5 linked regions of the Nothobranchius furzeri genome follow. The protein of the gene in region 1 binds, or shares a complex with, the protein of each later gene. Links are inferred from orthologs where the notes say so. Each region holds a gene or a part of one and is shown on either strand. Other genes may lie near its edges. The genes, in order: eif4e2, eukaryotic translation initiation factor 4E-binding protein 1, gigyf2, gigyf1a and tars1.

Region 1 (4,231 bases):
TGTGGGCTGAGCTGCTAATGAAGTATGACAGGACCGACTGGTGTAAACAAACAGCGGCCACTGAAGAATACCGCCACTGCTCTTTCTCATTCACTCACTGGTGCGACTGCCGGCCCAGAACAAAGAGTCCTCTCATGAAGGTCCTCACAGAAACACAGGGAGCAAGGGGTGAGGGTATGGTCTGCAACTGCGGAGCCAACCAAACCACGCCATGCCATACCATCCTAGAGCATCCTGTTCACCACCACACCATCCCCCCACCCACACATACATAATGCGTCTTATGAAGTTTGCAGTGTTGTTTCTAGACACAAGCCGGTATTTTGGTTATTTACCCACAAATCGGCTCGCATCTATAACAAAAACTGATCCAACTTGCATCAATAGAAGTCCACTTTGTTCCCATCTCACCCTCCACCTCCTCTGTGGTCCCCCAGACTTTGTCCAGAGCTCTGCTTGGACCTGAACAGAGCCACGGTTTGAAGTCGCCGCAAGAACAGAGGGCAAGCGAAGGGATGAAACAAGTACTGCGGCACATCAGAGGATGTGAGTTCAAACAAAGAGGCCGTCGGTTCTCTGTGTTGCGGCTGCACATGTGCTGTTGTGTGTATGTGGGTGTCTGCTCGTAGCCGTCCATATCCGTGAGCTGAAGTCACCAGGTTCCTAGTCACTCAAGCCGGGAGGAGCAGATTTTGACAAAGCTGTAAAAAAGTGATCCGAGTGGTACTTTTTCTTATTTATTATGCTTGAAAATATCAACATGTGGTGAATAAAATGTTCAAACGTAACTTGGATTTGATGTTGTGTTTCTGCACCAGGGTCACAGCTGTGCAAACGTTTTCAGCTACAACTGTCTTACACTTCAGAGGAGCCAGGTGTTTTGTAAAGTTATACATCTGATTAGTTATTTTTAAACTTTGGCTGAATTTTCACTCACTTTTAGTTTACTCTGCATATTGTGCTTCTTCCTGAAAAACAGGAAAATGGTAATGAAAAAGACTAATGATCACATTTAAGAAGTTACTTAAATAGAACATGTAATATATTTTTTCAAGGATGTAAAAGTTGCAAAGCTCTGTTACAGAAGGACATGAGAGATGGATCATCTATGACAATTTTACATAATCTGTCAATTCTGTTCATGCTAAAAGTCATTTTATGTGTGAACTGTTTTGGGGAGATATTTTTATAGTTTTACCTAAATAAATAGGATTACACGAACGTCATATGACTTGTTGCAATTGAGACTCATTTACTGGTTCATCCCTTGAGTTTGGAAATATTTAATTACTGAATAGTTCAGTGATGAGTGCCAAGGTCCAAGAACACACTTTAGGAAAACCGACTAATCTCATTCAAGCCACTTAAAATATAACTTTTGGACAACACTACATTTGACAGCAGCGCGTGCCACCTGCTGACTTCTTTTCCGATTCCGACTCATCACTGCGTGCGCGTTCATGTGTGTAAGATGTGCGTCGCCGTTCCTGCGGAACTCAGGAGGCAGAATTTGGACTCCGACAGACTCCTGACTAAAAAATAATGAACAACAAATTTGACGCGTGAGTTAAGGCTTTATATTTGATTATGTGGCATCGCACGACCTTCCCGTTGTTTTAAACAACTCAGAGAAAGCTAGAACGTTAATGAAAGCTGAATTGTGCGTTAAATGAGAGGTGTGTCAGGTTTATAGCATGGTAGTTCGATATGCCGTTGGCTGAGGTGGACAACTTACGTTCACTTTAGCGAGTGGATTTTTCATAAAATATAGTGATATTTTAAATAAGTAAAGGTTTTGATACAAATAATTGTCTTGTGAGTGTGTGTGCTTTTAGCTTAGCATGTCTGAAAGCGGGTAGGCCGCTAATCCCCGGTGTGTGAGTAGTTGGGACGCCGGAGGAGGTGCACACAGAATCGACTAGAACCAGATTCCCACGGCCTTCATCACGAGCACAGACGGGAGCAAATTCTGACTTTTTACTGCTAAAAGTGATGATACCGGTGCTGTTTTTGTGTGATTCTTAATTGGGGTTAATTTAAAATAAATAAATAAAATTTCAAGATTTAAGACGTAAAGTTTTTTAAATAGCGTTGTTTTGACGTGGGTCTTTGAGGCCAGCTGGTTAGTTTTGATCCTTTTTTTTTTTTTTTACATATTTAGATATTATCATTTATCATGATAATCTAGAGTTAACTGCACTTGGCTTTACATTAAAGTGTCTTCTGACAGACGTATGAATATCTGATGGTTTGTGTCTAATCCAGGCTGAAAGACGATGACAGTGGAGATCATGAGCAGGATCAGGGATCACCGAAAGACAGCGAAAAGGAAAAGATCGAAGACGATGACAAGGAGCAAATTATTATCAAGAAAAAAGTATGGCTGATTACAGAGCATTGTTTCTACTGTAGATAAATATGCTCCTGTATTTACATTTGTCCATGTCCTTTACAGATGGTGGTTCCAGGGGCAGGAGAGCACCCTCTTCAGTACAACTACACCTTCTGGTACTCCAGGCGGACCCCAGGCAGACCAGCTAGCACCCAGAGCTATGAGCAGAACATCAAACAGATTGGCAGCTTTGCCTCGGTAAAGGACTTTTGTTTATACTTCAGCTTCAGCTGTTTCATGTTCACATATTTAATTTTGTGGCTTATTCTTGTCAAGGTGGAGCAGTTCTGGCGTTTCTACAGTCACATGATCAGGCCTGGTGATCTGACAGGTCATAGTGACTTCCACCTCTTCAAAGAAGGCATTAAACCCATGTGGGAAGTAGGTGTCTGTCGCAGTAATTGTATACTTTAGTAGAACGTTTTTTGTTTTCTGTGTACTAAGGCGTATTTGAAACCCCTTGCATGTTTAGGATGATGCCAATAAAATGGGTGGAAAGTGGATCATTCGTTTAAGGAAAGGCCTCGCGTCCCGATGTTGGGAGAACCTGATTCTGGCCATGCTGGGGGAGCAGTTCATGGTAGGGGAGGAGATCTGTGGGGCGGTGGTGTCGGTACGATTCCAGGTAAATCAAATAACACAATGTTGTATGTAACTGCTGGATCCCATTGCACTGAAACGTCTTTTTATGTACTTCATTTTATTCAGGAGGACATCATTTCTATCTGGAACAAAACAGCTAGTGACCAAGCGACCACAGCCCGCATCAGAGACACCCTACGTAGAGTCCTCAACCTGCCTCCCAACACCATCATGGAGTACAAGACTCACACAGACAGCATTAAGTATGTAGGTGTAGCAATTAAAACATTCTAATTACGACCAATAAGATGTGATGATTCCATATAAAAATGAAATATCAATCTGATTGATCTTTGAATATTTAATCAGAAGATTCTAGGGTCCTTTGCCTCTTTAGGGACCATGATCACACTTCGTATCAATTCAGACAGAGTCGGGTATATAGTTTATAAAATTAATTTAATTATTTTTCCTAAACTAACAATTTATACATGACAAGATATGAATAATGAGATGTGTTGTGATGGAAGCTAGATGTTGTAGCAACCATTCTTTGTATCTGAGAGAAATTGCAAAATCTGGATGTAAAATAATTAGTTGTTTGGTTATAACTAGAGTTCAATTCAATTCAAAAATACTTTATTATTCCCAGAGGGAAATTGATTTCTGTAGTAGCTCAGAATAATAATAATAATCAAGTCATCAAAGAGTATATCACAATGGCTGTTGGCAGGAAGGATCTCCAGTAGCGGTCAGTATTGCAGCGAAGCTGAAGAAGCCTCTGACTGAAGACACCCTTCCGTTGTCTGACAGTCTTGTGAAGAGAATGCTCAGGGTTGTCCATAATTTTCTTGATTCTCTGGAGAATCCTTCTTTGCATTATCTCCTCCAGCGGTTCCACAGTCATCGCCAGAACAGAACCAGCCTTTTTTATTAGGCTGTTGAGCCTTTTCAGGTCCCTGCTTCTGATGCTACTACCCCAACAGATGATGGCTGAAGAGATTACACTCTCAACAACAGACTTGTAGAAGATCTGTAGCATCTTGCTACAGACATTGAAGCATCCTCAAGAAGTGCAGTCTGCTGTGTCCCTTCTTGTAAACAGCTTGGTTGTTCTTTCTCCAGTCCAGTCTGTTGTCCAGGTGAACTCCAAGGTATTTGTGTTCCTCAACTACCTCCACTTCTTCTCCCATGATGGAAACAGTGTTTGACTCCACCCTGTTTCTTCTGAAGTCTAAAATCATCTCCTTTGTTTTG
Region 2 (3,993 bases), on another chromosome or scaffold:
ACATTATTAATAGCATATTACTCGATACTAAGGAATGCAACTGCGCACATGCACAAAAAGTTTTTAATATAAAAATGGCTATATATATGAAACATACAAATATATATATTTACTTAGAATGCTATGCACCCCTGTCAACTGGGATTCCTGTTATGTTATGGATGTCCTTTTTGCATCATACAGCTGTAGCTACTAAGAGACTTTTAAGTTTGGGTAATGCCTGCAACCTGGGGATAAATAGGGGTTTTGTGGGTGTTTTAACTTATTTTGTTTGCTTTTTTATTGTCATGGAGAGTCAAACATAAAATATACATGTGAAAACCTTTTAATCCAATCAAAATCTGAGGGCATCTGTTGACAATTTACTCTGTACACCAGCTCAACATTTACAAAAATTAATAAAGAAATGAAACATCTTTGCGTATTGCGTGTAATTTTTTTCATGTCTTTAAATGACGTTTCTTGACTTTGAAGTGTGTTTTTTCCTGACTGACACAGTGAGTAGATCTTCGCTCGTTTAACCATCCTGCCAGGAGATGCATCAAGCTTTGGGGGAAGTCTGTTATAGACGTGCTGCAAAAAAGAAACATGAATTCAAAGAAATTCATGAAATCTGAATCTGATTTAAAAGCTTCTCTTTGTGTTATTAAAACTTGTGAAGTTATAGATCTAACATCTCAGAGCTAGGAATGTGGTCAGAATAAATAAAACAATTATGTAAGGGCTTTTAAAAGCAAATTGTATTGAAAATACATTAAAATGCCGAAGAAACACACACACACACACACACCTGAATAAATTCAATAATTATATTTGAGCAGAAGATGACAGCAGGATTTACTTACTGATTTTGCTCCTTTTAAATAAATCATCTGTCAACTTGACATGATTTAAAATCATTTCGGAGGCGGACTAGAATAAGGCAATCTTCTTGTTGAAAGCATAATAACGCAATATAACGTTCCTTAAAAGGTGAAAATCTGGAACAGTGTCTGCAGATTTTGTATTTAAGAAAATTTTCAAATAGAATGAGGTGAAAATAAATACATAGTTTTTTAAAAATAATAATAATAATTATTATTATTATTTTAATCTCTGTAGCCTAGTATGCACCAGTAGATGGCGGAATAAATTCGTTTAGTTTGCACCGAACAGCGTTCTCCCTACAGGGCTGCAGCAGCCTGTCTGTATGCCTTGATGGTCTGCCTGCGTATGTCTGTGTGTTGTTTTGTGTGCATGTGGAAACAGAGAAACGGGTGCTGCTGAGGTCCTTTTTCACCAAACATCCTCGACCCGTTTTGAGTGAGAGCGCGTGTGTTAATGTGGCTAACTTTAATCGCCATAGTTTGCACTCATGAAATCTAGATATTTATTTTTATTCATCAGAAGGCGACCGTTCTGCTGCTGAGCCAAATCTAACACTCCTCTGGCTTTGTTCTGTCAAACCCAGACGTTCTTCTTGTTTCATGTCATCCAGTTAGTTACTTTTAATTTTTTAGTTGAGAGAAGATGTCCACAGACTTTCAGAAGACAAATGCCAAGGCCATCCCGTCCACCAGGACAGTGGCCGTCAACGAAGCGGACCACATGCCACACGACTACTCCACTACTCCCGGGGGGACCCTTTTTAGCACCACACCGGGCGGTACGTTGTGTGTTTTTAACTCCACATTAACGTTTGTGTGCTTGGTCAAAAGGTCAGTGGCACGAGACCTGAATCCATTTAACAGCAGCGTTGTTGCGTGTGTTCATGCTAACTCCATGAGGTCGGCTTGGCTGCTGTCATCTGATAGCTAGCTATACTGAAGCTAACCGCTAACGCTAACTAGCGATCATTGAAAAAACAGAATAGTGAAAAACTAAAAAGTGGCTTTGAGGCATATGACCAATGTCGTTTTGTAAATGTAATTTTGCAACACAATAACTAATTTTCAATTAAGTGAAAATCGTTTTTAGGGTTTTACTTTGACTTCTGTACATCTTGTCACTGGGATCTGAGTCACGTGATCAAATCGGTGCTCTTGAGTTTATTGGCGGTGACCTAACCAGTTTAAAAGCCCATTACGACCACCTACTGGACTGGAATTTGGGATCAGATGCAGCAAAAGAAAAAAATCCAGTGGTGGGCCTAGAAAAACATGTACGGGGTGGCAGAAGGGGGCAAAATTTTGAGGATGGTAAAATGGAGCATAAATTACTATACTCTTTGGGCACACAAAAGCTTTTGAACTAAACTATCCATTAAAAATGTGTCTGTGAATTCCTATGCACTGAGCTGTACCAAGGTCAGCATAGATGCACTATATGGAAAGAAATAATAATAACAATAATGGATTGGATTTATACAGTGCTTTTCTTGGAACTCAAAGCGCATTCCATTAAAGTCCCATTAGTCATCATCACACGCTGGTGAAATGACATCTCCGTATTTGACCCATCCTCATGGGGAACGGTGAGCTGTAGCAGTGGCTGCACTCGGGAACTATTTGGTGGTTAAAGATGAGTGTCTAGCAGGGAGGCATTGGGTCCCATTTTTAACTCATTCACTGCCAATAGTCGTCATTGGAATTTTTTTACTGTGTGGGCATTGGAACGAGTCCCCGCGCCGAGAAGCAAACGTCTCAGCTCTGAAGCTGATCTTCATCCGCATACGTCACAGGTCACATGACCAGGAAGCAGAAAATCCATGTGTTAGGAGATCGGTTTGGGTTGTTCCTTTAAAAAAAAAAACATGAGGCGCGAACCGGAAAAGCGTCTGCCGATCACAATTCGACAACGAATTATGAAAGAATGGATAACGCTTGAAACACGCGGATTCTTCCTGATCTAAGAGGTGAGTCTCCTCTTTGTTTTGGTTGTTTTGGCGTCGACATCATCCTAGCGCGCAACGTTCTGTGACTCTTAAAAAACAGTAAAAATGGCGAGAAATGCTGGCAGTGAAGGTCTTCAGCGATCAGGAAATGGCTGGCAGTGAATGAGTTAAAGTCTTTGGGATAACCCGATGAACCACGATCTCCCAGTTCCAGTGCGGACACTCTTACCACTAGGCCACTCAGAAGGTTATATTGTTCACACTCTCACGTTCACACTGCCGGGGATGGTAAGCTACGATGTAGCCACAGCCACTCTGGAGTGGGCTGGCATTTTGTGCCACCACCAACACAATGTTTCACTGCAACAAGGTACTAAACTTTAGTTTTATTATTCACTCAAACACATTTCTTTCCCTGTTAATTCATCAGTATTTACATAACCATATATGTTTTTTTTATTTCAGGTCATTATTTTATCAGCTTGTGTCATGATCGGTGTAATCGGACATGCTACTTTCACATTCATAATGTCTGATTTGCCACAACTATTTCATGAATTATTGCTGCCTTCTTCTGAGGTGGCAAAACTTTCCTTTAGGGAGGCAGTTGCCACCCCAGTAGATCAGCCCCTGAATAAATCCAACAAAACTAGATTTTTTTTTAAATCTGACAGATTGTTTATTTTAAGAGTTTAATGAGGTCAGAGCTGTTACTGCTTTGCCAAAGAGGCTTCATTGTTTAACTGACATTGTGATTAAAACTAGGGATGCACCGATACCTCTTTTTTCCAAACCGATACGATACCGATACTTGGATCTGGGTACTTGCCGCTGCCGATTACTGATACCGATACTTCCACCACACAAAAAAATGCAATGATATGGAATACAGATTTTATTTTCTTCTCTGCTTTCAACAGGAAAAGACTGTGAGGTAAATAAAAAGTAAAATATATGAATGGAAATCATCACAAAACTAAAATATTAGGTGAACAGAAATGACAAGTTACAGTGAAGCCATTTTCAAGCAACTGCATTGGTATCGGTTCCTGGTATCGGTTAACTTTCACTGATACCGATACTGGTATCGGTACCGATGCCAGTATCGGTATCGGTGCATCCCTAATTAAAACAGACCTGTTATTTATTTATTTCAGATTTACGTTAATAACACAGACATA
Region 3 (3,511 bases), about 2.9 Mb from region 1:
TTTGACTTTAAGTATCTGCTGATAACAGAGACCTGATCCAACACTTTTCAGCAAAGCATTAAAGTAAGAAGACAGAAGGATTCTCAGATACTCCTGTTTGGGGACGGAGGAGTCAGCCGGAGGAGAAAGAAGCTTCAAACAAAGTCTTATTTCCTGATATTCGGACATCTCGCCTCTGATTGGATAACAGCAACACGACTCCACCACTGACTCAGTTTGCTCTGCAACACCGATATTTTATCTCCACAAATAACACAAGGAGTTCTGTCGTGTGGTGGAGTTGCTAATGCTAACAGTTAGCTTCTGCTAGTCGAGATGTTCTCTGCCGTTTCCTGGACGCAACATCAACAGCCTTCCCGTCACGAGCCAAATGGGTATGAATGTGTGTGTGAATCACTGATTGTGTTGTAAAGCGCCTTGGGGGGCTCTAGAAGGAGCTACGTCAAATACAGGCCAAATGGATGAGTCCGTGAATGTTAACAGACATTGTGTCGTACATCTGCACCGAGAACTTTTCCAGGCTATTTTCACGTGATTGGATCATCTCTCATTTCACCACTTTTACACAAAAACACATTGTTTATGTTTATTACCAGGGTTTCAAAACACATCAAGGCTGTTTTAAAAACAATTATTTCCTTTTTAGCTATTAACATAAACCTAAATGAAAAAATTGATTCTACCCAACAGAGAAAAAAGTATTTATAGCGACTTTCCAACCAACAAAAAAGATGACTAAACTCTACTATGTTGCCTTCATAACAGCTTATTGTTTGTGTTCACTTGGCCTTTACTGACACTCCCTCATTCCTCTCTTGCCCCTTTGGCTCTCTGAGCTACCGGCAATTTTTATTTGCAAGCACAAACTATCAAACAACGCCTGAGCGCAGAGATTATGATGGGATTAAAATTTGTCGTCAGCAGGTAATCTCATCGTTTCAAATAGGCCGTTTTAAATGTTAACATCCAAGCAGCTTTTGAGGTAAAAACACAGAAAATGTGTCACCTTCTTTATGTGATGCAACAACCAGGGTAAAAAACTTGTTTCCCAACTTAAACAGAAACACCATGAAGGTCAAAAAGTGACTCAAATTACTCAGGAGACGCAGCGGTGAATCAGACTAGCTTAGATGATTTTTCATATAGATTATACATTTATTCTGCAACAATTCCTGTTAAAATAAAGTGTGAATGATCAGGAACATGTTTTACTATTAAACTTGTCTATTGTATCTTTTTACTTCCTTGGAATTATTTTGAAAACTGGGTTTAGTTTGAATTTGACCTTTAAATGATCTAATACCAACATATTTATCAATAAGAGAATCAAAAGTCAGATTATCAACACTACTGACCTTTTCTGTCTGCTTCCCTTTTGGCTTCTTTTTCTGATTCTTTGGTTTCCCTGGTCGGGGTATCCAGCTCCTCCAGGCCTTCGTCACACTCCTCCAAGGGTCTGAAGTCGAGCTCTGCTTCTTCTGGAATCGGTTCCTTTGAGGCTTTCTGATTACAAAATGACAATGTGGGGGGGGGGGGGGGACTATTGTCATAAACTTCTCAGTAATCTTTAAATAATCATTTGAGGAAAGTATCTGATTACCTTATGAGAGAGAAAGGCTCCAGAAGAGTCAAATGTGCCTGCCTCTTCATCTGCATCCTCTAGACACCACTCGGGTAAGCTGTCCCTCTCGTCATCCAAGCTGCCGCTGCCAGACCTCTGCCTTCTGTAGCCGCGCTCGTCTTCTCTTGCATCAAACGGAAAATGTCGACGCTGCTCCGGAAGTTCCCGCCAGCCTGCTGACCGAGGCCCATCTGGGGAAAAATGCCACATAAAAGGAAAACTAAAACAAAATCCCACATGTTCACTCCAGACAACGGGAGAAATAACACACATGTAAACACAATCATCTGAATGTTTGTTCTGCATTTTGCATGAATGTAAATCTTGTTGCAGTGCGTTCTGTTCCAGGAAAAGCTGCTGTAATCCAGGCACATAAATCTAAGGCAAAAGCCTCCATTAGATTCCGTTAGCTCAGTTAGCTCTTAGCTTCATCAGCTCAGAGTTTGTTGGGTGTCAACCACCTGCCCCCACCCCCACAGCCTCGACCCTAGCTCCATTATTATATTACCCTGGAGCGATGAGACACGTGATGCAGCCAAGATGGCGGTTGTGGGAACTGCCCACTGGGCTTTAATTCAGCTCTTCATAAAGCTACGAGTGACGGCGGAGGACTGGTCTATCTAACATTTAGTCTTTGGGCTGAACAAAAAAGCACCTTTAGGCCAAACGGGAAGCACGACAAAGACAAGAGATAACACACCCTTTCACTTATCAAAACTTATTATTTCGACAAGATGAATGTATGGGTAATGCTTTTGTCTTTCATTTTTAGCGCCCACCTGGGCTCGGGGGGCACCACCGGTCGTTCTCCCATTGAGAACCCAGCAGGCGCCAGCCCCCCTCATCACCCTCACCGTTCTGATCGTCTCGAGTAGTACGCCAGTTTTCACTCTCTGAACGCGTAAAGTCGTGCTTCCTTGGGAGTCCTGTCCCTCCGTCCTCATATGGGCCTCGAACTGTAAAAACACCACATTAGAACACCAGGTGATGGAGTGGGGGGTGCCGTTAGGATGAGAAACCCCAGGGAATTAACATTTTAACATCTATATGATGTAAATGATGGCATGATTTGGCTAAGAACCCAGAACTTTCAGAGGAATGCTTTTTAACTCACTGTGATTGATCTGAAAATGCCCCGGAGCAACATCAGCTACAACGACAGAGAAGAGCAAACAGGTGAGCTGGCCAACTTGCCCAAAAAAATGTTTGAGTATTGATTTTTTTTTCTGTTTTCACAACAAAATGTGACACCAACCTGGGTCCTTTCGACCTGGCTTTTCAAATCGTCGGTCCCCCCTAATAAATGGGGAAAAAAAAGAAACGTTTAGTCTTGACTAAAAATATATAGAAGAGATATGTGCAATATCAGGAAAAGATCTGGATTTATCACATTTTTTCATTCCAATACCGTTCCTCCCAGCTTTGAGAACGGTGCATTTCCCTTCCTCCGCGACCAAAACCTTCAACGTCATCAAAACTTCTTTGGTAAAACCCTCCGTCTCCTCTTCCCCGCCCTGAAATCAAAAGATGAAATACATCAAATGATAAAATTCAAAAGTTTGGATAAAAGCTGAATCCTGATACTGTACCAGCCTAATCCTTATTTATTTTGAATAAAAAAAGAGCTGAATCATCCTTCGACGAAGGATGATTCACGAAGTTCGTGAAGGTGCAATGCAACTGAGGGGACCCACCGAGCCACCATGCATATAAAACGGTGCAAAATATATGAAAGGTGCATAAAAAAAATGCACACAGTCTGTTTATAAATGAAATGGAATTTTAAGCTGTTAAAAACAATAGTCGTCTCTTATGGCACACGCCTTCCTCTGGTGCTGATATGGTTTGGAAAAATGTTGACAAAAATTGTTTGTGCTCTACGTTTTGCTG
Region 4 (4,096 bases), on another chromosome or scaffold:
TGCAAAACATATGCATCCTTAAAGCTGGAGCTACTGAAGAACTAGAAGACTGTCCATTGGAAAATGTAGGTCATATATGAATAAAAAATAACTCAATTACACAATAAAGGTTTTTCTATACAGCCTATCCTGTATGTGTGTTTCTCTCCATCTAGTGAAACGCAGCTGCAGTCAGACACAGACAGTATAAGCAGCAGAGGAGCAGAGTGGATCTATTGGCTGGTTACTGAACTTATCTGATCCAACAGTTTGTGCAGCCACACGTCTCCTAGATTGGTTATAGTAATGGAAAAACTTCTAAAACCTTAATATATCTCCCAGTGGTTGCTAGGGTTTGCATAAGGGCTCTACTGTGGGTCACAGAATAGGAGGTTTTACATTTAAGATAATATCCTGAAAAGAGAGTTTCTTGATGCATATTTTTCACCAAAATTGATGTAAAATCTAAAGAAATTGCATAATTAGGGTTAGGATATTAGGGCTGTAAACATTCACAAAAAGTAAAAATGCTTGAGATTTATGTTTTATTTTTAAAAATTAAATCTCTAACATTTAATTTTGGGGATCAAAGTCTAAATCATCTGGGCAACACAGGACATGTTAGGTATTTCCAGTGATGTGGATGAAAACTGTTCATAATGTTTATATACTTCAATTTCAGTATTTGTTCTTATTACTTGTGGACTTCACTGACATAATTTTTTTTCTTAAATAAGTTTTTAAAAATCACCTTTTTTTGACTGTATAGCATGATATTAAAAATGCAAACGATTGGATCCTGCACAAGGTTCGAGCTGCACAAGGGTCTTATAATAGTCATTTTCTTTTTCACATTCACTTTTAGAAAATAAAAGTCACAACATTTTACAATAAATTAGGGTTGAATGCATTATGCTTTTACTTCATTTTAAACCATTACTTTTTGCATTATTATTTTACTGCCAAACTGCGCTCTCTTGTGTACAAAGAGTGGATCACACTGCACATGCACAGTTCGGTGAGCTGTAAAACTTGCAGAAACCTCATAAATTATTAAAATATTATATTGTTTATTACAGTCGTGACGCTTCTTGGTAAAATAGTTTGTTATTACAAAAATACATTTGTTAATTATGTTTATTCCAGTGTTCCAAAACTGTCTCAGGAGCGTGTTTATTATAAAGCAACGCGGCCCCACTTTATTGCACGCGCTCATTAAACTGGCTAATTAAGCCACGTCGAGCTAAAACGGAACAGGAGAGTCCTCGCTGGTAAAAATAGGGGTGTGTTTGCTCTGCTCCTGCATTGGTTGCCCGCTTGGCAATGCGCGGTCACGTGGTATCACAAGGACGGCCATGTTTCCGAAACACAAACAACAAGAAGAGAAGGAGCGACTCGGAGCAGCAGACACACATTGATACGCAGCAGCGACCGTTGGAGGAGAAGAGTGAGCGCGAGAGGAAACCTAATAACCACACCGCAGATTTTCCTGAAAGTACTATTCTGTCGAATGAATACGTTTACAGTGTTTAAAGAGACCAATGCATACCATATATTGGCTGTAGGCACGCCGTGCGGACATAAACACAAGGTAAGCGAGCAAGGGTTCCTCTTTGCAGCTGGCTAGCGTACGAGCTAACATGCTAATCTCGGCTCGTTTAGCTCGATTCGTCCACGGTGAAAAAAAAACAACGGTTAAATAACCGTTTTACAACTAAAAACTACACCAATTTATGGATTTACTCGTCTTGTTCCAAATGCATTAAACTAAAGTATTTCATAGTGAGGACAGCCGCGGTGGTGGTAGTCCGCTCAACGGTGGAGCAGGCCGGGGAGTCTCCTTCCCAACCATCCGCCCCCTCCGCCATCATATCTGGTGTCACTTGAACCATCACGCCAAGGCCTTAGCGATCCAGCGCATACCTGAGTGCTAGTTTAGGTGGTAAACCGTGTCTGTTGAGCAACTGAATCATGTTTACAGACGCCTCTAACAGTTAGCTGTACGCCTACTACGGAGAAATCTGCTGCTATTAGCTTATAACAGCAACAGTAGCGCAAATGTAGCTTGTTAGCTTCCACTTAAGCTTTTCAGTGTTTTTCAGTTTTAGGTTGTTCTCGGTGAAAGCTGCTTGTAGCCGAGGTTCATTTAAAGAATATAAAGGGTTTTAGCAGATAACATGTGCAGTGTGTTCACTCTGCTTGATGACCTTGCTTTAGCTTTATTGTTAAACTTTTTATCTCTGATATGAGTTGACCTCAATGTGGTGAATGGGTTTTATGGTTGTGTGTTTAAAATTTGGTTTGCAGCTTTAAAAGCTGGATTTTATTGTAATGTTTCTGCTTTAAATCATGATAATTTGTTATTTAATTTGCTACCGTTAAGCACTTAGCAAATACCAATTTTCACAAGTGGACAATTATTTTTTTATGTGTCTGGTATTAATGGGGTTTGATTCATTTTAAGCTTGTTTTACTATCATGTTCTTTATCATATTTTGTACTCTGTATTGGGTCTTTTGACCTTTCCCACACATTTATTACAAATAACATCACATCCAAAGTTGTTACATGAGGACACCTCACAGATTTGGTTGCAGAAAGCTGGTGTGGATCTCCTTCAAATTTAAGTCACTCTGGTCACGTAAATATTAACCAGCTTTTAAATCCGTATTTGGTTATTTAAACTATTTTTAGAGGATTTCTTTCATATATATAAGCAATATTTAAAACTTAATTTTGTATTTTTACTGAATAAATAATAAATAAATCACAAAAAATTGCTACTTCCACGTAACGAGGGAATTATTTTTGTTTGGAAAAGTCCCAAAGAAGACAGTTTGTCTTTATTAACACTATTAAACACTAGGAATAATATAAGGGTAGAACAAGTTCTGAATCTTTTTGTATTAGTCTCGTAGGATTTAAAGCTTCTTTCCGGAGTATTTCTCTTATCCGATGGCACCATCTAGTGGCTGACAAGCACATCACACAAAAACTCTGTTCCTCTTTGTTTTTTTTAAAGATGGCGGCTTCACGTTTCTGTTTATAAATGTGTTTCTGTAGCCGACAAGCAGAGCTAAACACGTTGTTTTACGAGTATCATTCTCATGTCATGTTGTGTTCTCATACATTTATATTTTAGAGACGTAATTGTCCGTGAAAAGTTCATCAACTCAAAAAATTTAAAGGACGTATTGCTTACATTATATCACAGTACATGATAAGACAATCACTTTCACGGATTTCTGACAAATCATACATAATTTCTGAAAGGGGGAAAACTCCGGAAAGCAGCTTTAAGGTCAGAATTAGCTGGAAATTATGATTTGAAATGGTTGAATGAAGCCGCAGGGGTGGACATTAACTTCAAAACCAACCGGCCAGCCGGGCCGGTAACTCTGAATATTTACCGGCCCTGCCAAGAATCTACCGGCCCCACTGGTCAGCCGCCAAAACGAGTCAAAATAACAACTGAACCGTTTTAAATGTAACAAACCTTTATTTTGTACACATTCACAAACATAATAACGTATTCAAGTTTGAATTTGTTTGTTCCCTCAACAAAACACGATTTTGTCGTCGCATACTTCTGGCATACAACGCAGTACATCACCAACGCCGCTTTGCTGTATTCAAGCCATTGACTGTGTTCGAGATGAGCCAGTTCTGCGCAGAGTAGACCAGCAGTGATCGGCGAGCGGTGCATGCCGGTTAGATTTGTGTCCGAATTGACCTGACTTGCTCTGACGTCATGCATACGTAGGCATCGATAACCTCGTGAGATCAAGGCGGTCGCAGATTTTGGAGCAAGGCGCTGCAGTTGCTCTCTACCGGCTGCAAAACCTAGAGGATGATGGGAAACGCCTGGCTCTCACCTGATCTAAGATCTGATTGGTTCACATTTTGATCCAAACATCCGGTGGTAGAACATGAAATGTTAGTTGTTCACATGTATTATGTAAATCATGTTATGTTGATGATGACAACTATATAGGCCATAAGGAGAAATGTGTTTTGTGTTCTTTTGTCACGTTTCCTATGAGCACACTGAACAGCTGATAACCTTTACTTATTATTACAGTCATGTTTTCATATAGAATATATGATATCCACAAGC
Region 5 (3,511 bases), on another chromosome or scaffold:
TCCCCTTGAATTACTTCTTTAAAAGCCACGTATTGATTTGAGCTACTTAATATGTGCGTTAATCAGCTACAAACCGTTTACTTTCACTTAACAAACCATTATGAATGGCTTATTATGATGAAACTCTTAATTTATGGCCTGTTAATGTTAGAATTACAGCATTAGTAATAAGCACCTAATAATAGCTTAATAATGACCAATTCTAACTTAGTAGTCCACTAATATGCATATTAATTGGCAGCTAATTAATGGTTAATTTGTGTTGCCTAAACTAAAGTATTACCCATAATGCATTTATTCTGCAAGTATTAAAAATGCACCTTAGCTCAGAAAACACCAACATACCATAAATGACTCACAGGTGCAAACCCTGCGGGTGGCTGCTTTAAACCTGTCTACATCTCAGCTCCTACCCGGCCCAGTTTGCGGTGATCTCTGTTCTTGGCCTCCTCCTGAAACTTCTCCCACTCTTTGAGCATTTTAGGGTCGGGGAAGGAGATGCCGTAGATCCTCTGGAGGGTTTCCATGTCTGCCTTTCCCTCCCAGTAGGTCGACGAGTTCTAGCGCAGCGCAGAGGAAAAACAACTTTTCATTGTTCTTTAAAGTCCATCAAATCCTCTGAGATTAGAACACAAGAGTGAATCTGCTGCCTGCAAACGTGGGAACAAACTGAGTGCGTGCAGCAACAACGTGCACAGCGAAGCGCACGCTAACCTTGTGGATTTTAAGTGACTTGATCTTTCCGGTGTGTCTCACATGAGGCCCCCGGCACAAATCAATTAAGGGACCGCATCTGAAAAGACAAAATGTCTGAGAGTTTGTTGGATGAAGATGAAACAAGCGAGCAGCTGTTGTTTTTCCTGCCTCGGACTCACCTGTAAACCGTGGTCGTCGGGGTGGTGACTTTCTCCTTCAGAATGCGGCACTTAAACTTGTTGTACTGAAACGGGTAAATCAATCATTACATTTTACTGCGATTATCTTTAGTTATCACTCATACGTGTTTAATAATACCTTGAACATCTCCAGCAGAGTTTCCTTCTTTATTTCCAGCCTTTCGAACGGCTGCTTCTCTTTGATGATTTTTTTGCACAAGTTCTCCAGATAGGGAAAGTCGTTGCTCGATACGCCGCTGTCCCACACAAGAAGAGGTAATAATAATAGTAACGGTACGTGCAGCATAGCTTTTTCAGTTAAAAACATTTTCTCCACCTCTTAGTAAGTTCTGCCTCCGTCTCCAAAGAGCTTCACGCCCATGACCTTTAACTTAATCGCCAAGAAAGGTCAGACAGTTGAAGTCGTTGGCTTTAGGGCTTAAGCAATGCCAAAATATCCTTGCTACAACAGTCCCTAGGAACGCCATTAGCATAAAACAACTTCATTATGTAGGCTGTAGAATAAAAGAGACAGCACTGCCCAAGCTCTCAAAGCTGGAACAAAGGTGTGAAAAAAAATCCAAGGAAACATTCGTTACCAGTCGGGATGTAAGAAAATACGCTGAAATATCACAATATCTCCTATTATGATACGGATTTGATATTTAAAAGCAGTGTGTCGATTTGGAGAATTTAAATGCAAACATATACGTATTTCTTTTTGTGAGGTGTAATTCAACGTCTCACTGCTAGGTGGCAGCAGTTTTTACCACCTTCATTCTGACAGGACAAGATCTGGCGATATCCTCTCCCCTGGTTTGTGATTTATGTCGCATCGCCAGATCTTTGCCAATAAACACCCTGTGTCACCAATATACCATAAAAAATGAACATTTTAAGTCCACACCTGTGAGAAGATCCACCTGGAGGCCAATGGTTTTATAACGTTCGGTTATTTTTTAGTTCATATTATGGAGCAATGTAAAAGAACCTGTTAGACGCCTGTTACGCCCAAAAGCACGCCCAAGGAATGAAAACGTGTGGATCAACCCACAGTCTTTGAAACTCACTCATTGTTTTCTAGAAACATGTCGTAGTAGAAGCCACTCTCGATTGGAGGACCGTAGCACAGGCAGCCTCCGTACACCTTCTCCATCGCTTCACCAAGAATATGAGCACTGGAGTGCCAGTAAACCTAAAGAAAACACAAACGCATCATTAAGTCGAACAATCTAGGATTTTCTTAGCATTGGTGCTTCTAATTAATAACCCAACAATGGTTTAAGCCTAATGTTGTATTACATCAATGTTTTATTCATTTGATGAAAAACAAAAAGGCGGTATGGTTTTGATCCTCATTCACCCAACAATATTTCCTAAACCTAAAGTGTGATAAAAAACGAGATGAACTTACAGCTTGAGCCTCCTCATCATCAAACTTGAGCAACTGAAGGCTACAGTCGTCTTCCAAAGGTCTGTCCAGGTCCCACACACTGTTGTTTACTTTGGCAATCACCGTGTTGTCAGCAAGGCCTTGACTGCACAAGAAATACGACAAACTACACATCAGAAAAATATCACACCTCTCCTTACGTGTCTTAAACACTGGAACACCACAGGGCTGTGTGTTCAGTCCCCAACTGTACTTCCTGTTCACCCATGACTGTGTTGCTAGTCATGCTACGAATTCAATCATCCAATATGCAGATGACACATCCATCTTAGGCCCCATCTTGTACAATAATGAGTCAACCTATAAAGACGAGGTGAAGGCCCTGAGTAACTGATGACTGGACAACAACTTAAATCTCAATGTCGGATAAGAGATAATTGTGAACTGGTGGAGAACACCAGACCATTTGCATCACTGGGGCGAAGTCGAAAGGGTCAGACGTCCTAAGAAATTCAGACTAAACATGACTGAGGACCTCATGTGGACCCGACCACATAAACAAGATGAAGAAAGTGCATCAGCCACACAACTTACTTCCTTTTTTAATAATTATCTTACTTAGAAACACATTTCATTGTAATTTTGACTTAGTTAACTTATTTATAACAAATACTTAAAGTCAGTATTAGAAGATCACCAATAAACCATTTTAACATCAGCTAAAATGGCTGCTCCACTTACTATTGGATGTATCAGAGATACGGGTTCATGTTTATATTTACACACTAATGAATAGACTAAGAAACTTTCAAGCCGATTAGAAAATTTAGACCCATTTAACTTAATAACTTGTTTGCGTTATGATAAAGAAATGTGGTCAGGATGGTAGACTGAGGGATGTTTTCATTGGCCAGGTTTATGGGCTGCTTAAGCTGAACATTTTCAGCATGATTCCAGAAATAAAACTCAGAATTTATCATGATTTTATAAACACGCCAGACCCCAAAAAATCTTATGTGACTGACATTAATAATAAATGCTCTATTGACAATTCTCTCCCATAATATCAGAGTAACACGAACAATACTAATGCAATGCTTCACCAAGATTTAATAAACTAATGAGATTTTTTTTTGTCTTGTGCATGACGATTTAATAAATTATTTCCTTTAATGAACAGTCAAAGGTTGGCGGGTGACATTTGCAGTCACTGGTTTTAATAACACTGACGCTGTGAACCCTT

Evidence for each region.
Region 2: the proteins of eif4e2 (region 1) and eukaryotic translation initiation factor 4E-binding protein 1 are in contact, whole or in part, in a crystal structure (PDB 5NVN), measured with the Homo sapiens proteins. The link is inferred for Nothobranchius furzeri from reciprocal best matches to the Homo sapiens genes EIF4E2 and EIF4EBP1. Residues at the interface, in NP_004837.1 of Homo sapiens: Glu53, His54, Pro55, Leu56, Gln57, Tyr58, Tyr64, Arg66, Lys83, Gln84, Ile85, Gly86, Val91, Glu92, Gln93, Trp95, Arg96, Phe97, Ser99, His100, Met101, Val102, Leu107, Phe113, Glu149, Asn150, Leu153, Gly157, Glu158, Gln159; in NP_004086.1 of Homo sapiens: Arg51, Ile52, Ile53, Tyr54, Asp55, Arg56, Phe58, Leu59, Met60, Cys62, Arg63, Ser65, Val67, Thr68, Lys69, Thr70, Pro71, Pro72, Asp74, Leu75, Pro76, Ile78, Pro79, Gly80, Val81, Thr82, Ser83.
Region 3: the proteins of eif4e2 (region 1) and gigyf2 are in contact, whole or in part, in a crystal structure (PDB 5NVM), measured with the Homo sapiens proteins. The link is inferred for Nothobranchius furzeri from reciprocal best matches to the Homo sapiens genes EIF4E2 and GIGYF2. Residues at the interface, in NP_004837.1 of Homo sapiens: His54, Pro55, Leu56, Gln57, Tyr64, Arg66, Asn81, Lys83, Gln84, Ile85, Gly86, Thr87, Val91, Glu92, Phe94, Trp95, Arg96, Phe97, Ser99, His100, Met101, Val102, Leu107, Phe113, Glu149, Asn150, Leu153, Leu156, Gly157, Glu158; in NP_001096616.1 of Homo sapiens: Leu38, Ala39, Asp40, Tyr41, Arg42, Tyr43, Gly44, Arg45, Met48, Leu49, Leu51, Phe52, Leu53, Asn56, Lys57, Ile58, Pro59, Asp61, Leu62, Asp64, Glu66, Phe67, Pro69, Ile70, Leu71, Gln72.
Region 4: the proteins of eif4e2 (region 1) and gigyf1a are in contact, whole or in part, in a crystal structure (PDB 5NVK), measured with the Homo sapiens proteins. The link is inferred for Nothobranchius furzeri from reciprocal best matches to the Homo sapiens genes EIF4E2 and GIGYF1. Residues at the interface, in NP_004837.1 of Homo sapiens: His54, Pro55, Leu56, Gln57, Tyr64, Lys83, Gln84, Ile85, Gly86, Val91, Glu92, Trp95, Arg96, Phe97, Tyr98, Ser99, His100, Met101, Val102, Arg103, Leu107, Phe113, Ile137, Arg138, Leu139, Arg140, Gly142, Leu143, Ser145, Arg146; in NP_001362694.1 of Homo sapiens: Leu36, Ala37, Asp38, Tyr39, Arg40, Tyr41, Gly42, Arg43, Met46, Leu47, Leu49, Tyr50, Glu53, Asn54, Lys55, Val56, Pro57, Glu59, Leu60, Glu64, Phe65, Ala67, Val68, Leu69, Gln70, Asp71, Glu72, Pro73, Leu74, Gln75.
Region 5: the proteins of eif4e2 (region 1) and tars1 are in contact, whole or in part, in a crystal structure (PDB 5XLN), measured with the Homo sapiens proteins. The link is inferred for Nothobranchius furzeri from reciprocal best matches to the Homo sapiens genes EIF4E2 and TARS1. Residues at the interface, in NP_004837.1 of Homo sapiens: His54, Pro55, Leu56, Gln57, Val91, Glu92, Phe94, Trp95, Arg96, Glu149, Asn150, Leu153, Leu156, Gly157, Glu158, Gln159, Met161, Val203; in NP_001245366.1 of Homo sapiens: Pro51, Glu52, Tyr53, Ile54, Tyr55, Thr56, Arg57, Met60, Tyr61, Ile63, Leu64, Glu67.

Annotation. Positions count from the first base shown.
Region 1 is NC_091751.1:56,212,938-56,217,168, reverse strand, and holds the start of eif4e2 (eukaryotic translation initiation factor 4E type 2), read left to right. Parts: upstream 1-1,423; 5' UTR 1,424-1,542; coding exon 1,543-1,562; intron 1,563-2,265; coding exon 2,266-2,377; intron 2,378-2,455; coding exon 2,456-2,590; intron 2,591-2,668; coding exon 2,669-2,773; intron 2,774-2,864; coding exon 2,865-3,017; intron 3,018-3,100; coding exon 3,101-3,237; coding exon of another isoform or gene 3,238-3,241; intron 3,242-4,231. UniProt on the Homo sapiens protein: Recognizes and binds the 7-methylguanosine-containing mRNA cap during an early step in the initiation. Acts as a repressor of translation initiation.
Region 2 is NC_091757.1:46,259,643-46,263,635, reverse strand, and holds the start of eukaryotic translation initiation factor 4E-binding protein 1, read left to right. Parts: upstream 1-1,187; 5' UTR 1,188-1,509; coding exon 1,510-1,645; intron 1,646-3,993. UniProt on the Homo sapiens protein: Repressor of translation initiation that regulates EIF4E activity by preventing its assembly into the eIF4F complex: hypophosphorylated form competes with EIF4G1/EIF4G3 and strongly binds to EIF4E, leading to repress translation.
Region 3 is NC_091751.1:53,327,335-53,330,845, reverse strand, and holds part of gigyf2 (GRB10-interacting GYF protein 2), read right to left. Parts: intron 3,136-3,511; coding exon 3,012-3,135; intron 2,918-3,011; coding exon 2,877-2,917; intron 2,772-2,876; coding exon 2,736-2,771; intron 2,578-2,735; coding exon 2,401-2,577; intron 1,813-2,400; coding exon 1,601-1,812; intron 1,504-1,600; coding exon 1,356-1,503; intron 1-1,355. UniProt on the Homo sapiens protein: Key component of the 4EHP-GYF2 complex, a multiprotein complex that acts as a repressor of translation initiation. In the 4EHP-GYF2 complex, acts as a factor that bridges EIF4E2 to ZFP36/TTP, linking translation repression with mRNA decay.
Region 4 is NC_091742.1:83,853,525-83,857,620, reverse strand, and holds the start of gigyf1a (GRB10-interacting GYF protein 1), read left to right. Parts: upstream 1-1,295; 5' UTR 1,296-1,570; intron 1,571-1,585; exon of another isoform or gene 1,586-4,096. UniProt on the Homo sapiens protein: May act cooperatively with GRB10 to regulate tyrosine kinase receptor signaling. May increase IGF1 receptor phosphorylation under IGF1 stimulation as well as phosphorylation of IRS1 and SHC1.
Region 5 is NC_091757.1:57,099,435-57,102,945, reverse strand, and holds part of tars1 (threonine--tRNA ligase 1, cytoplasmic), read right to left. Parts: intron 2,414-3,511; coding exon 2,290-2,413; intron 2,071-2,289; coding exon 1,946-2,070; intron 1,133-1,945; coding exon 1,015-1,132; intron 941-1,014; coding exon 876-940; intron 794-875; coding exon 715-793; intron 561-714; coding exon 414-560; intron 1-413. UniProt on the Homo sapiens protein: Catalyzes the attachment of threonine to tRNA(Thr) in a two-step reaction: threonine is first activated by ATP to form Thr-AMP and then transferred to the acceptor end of tRNA(Thr).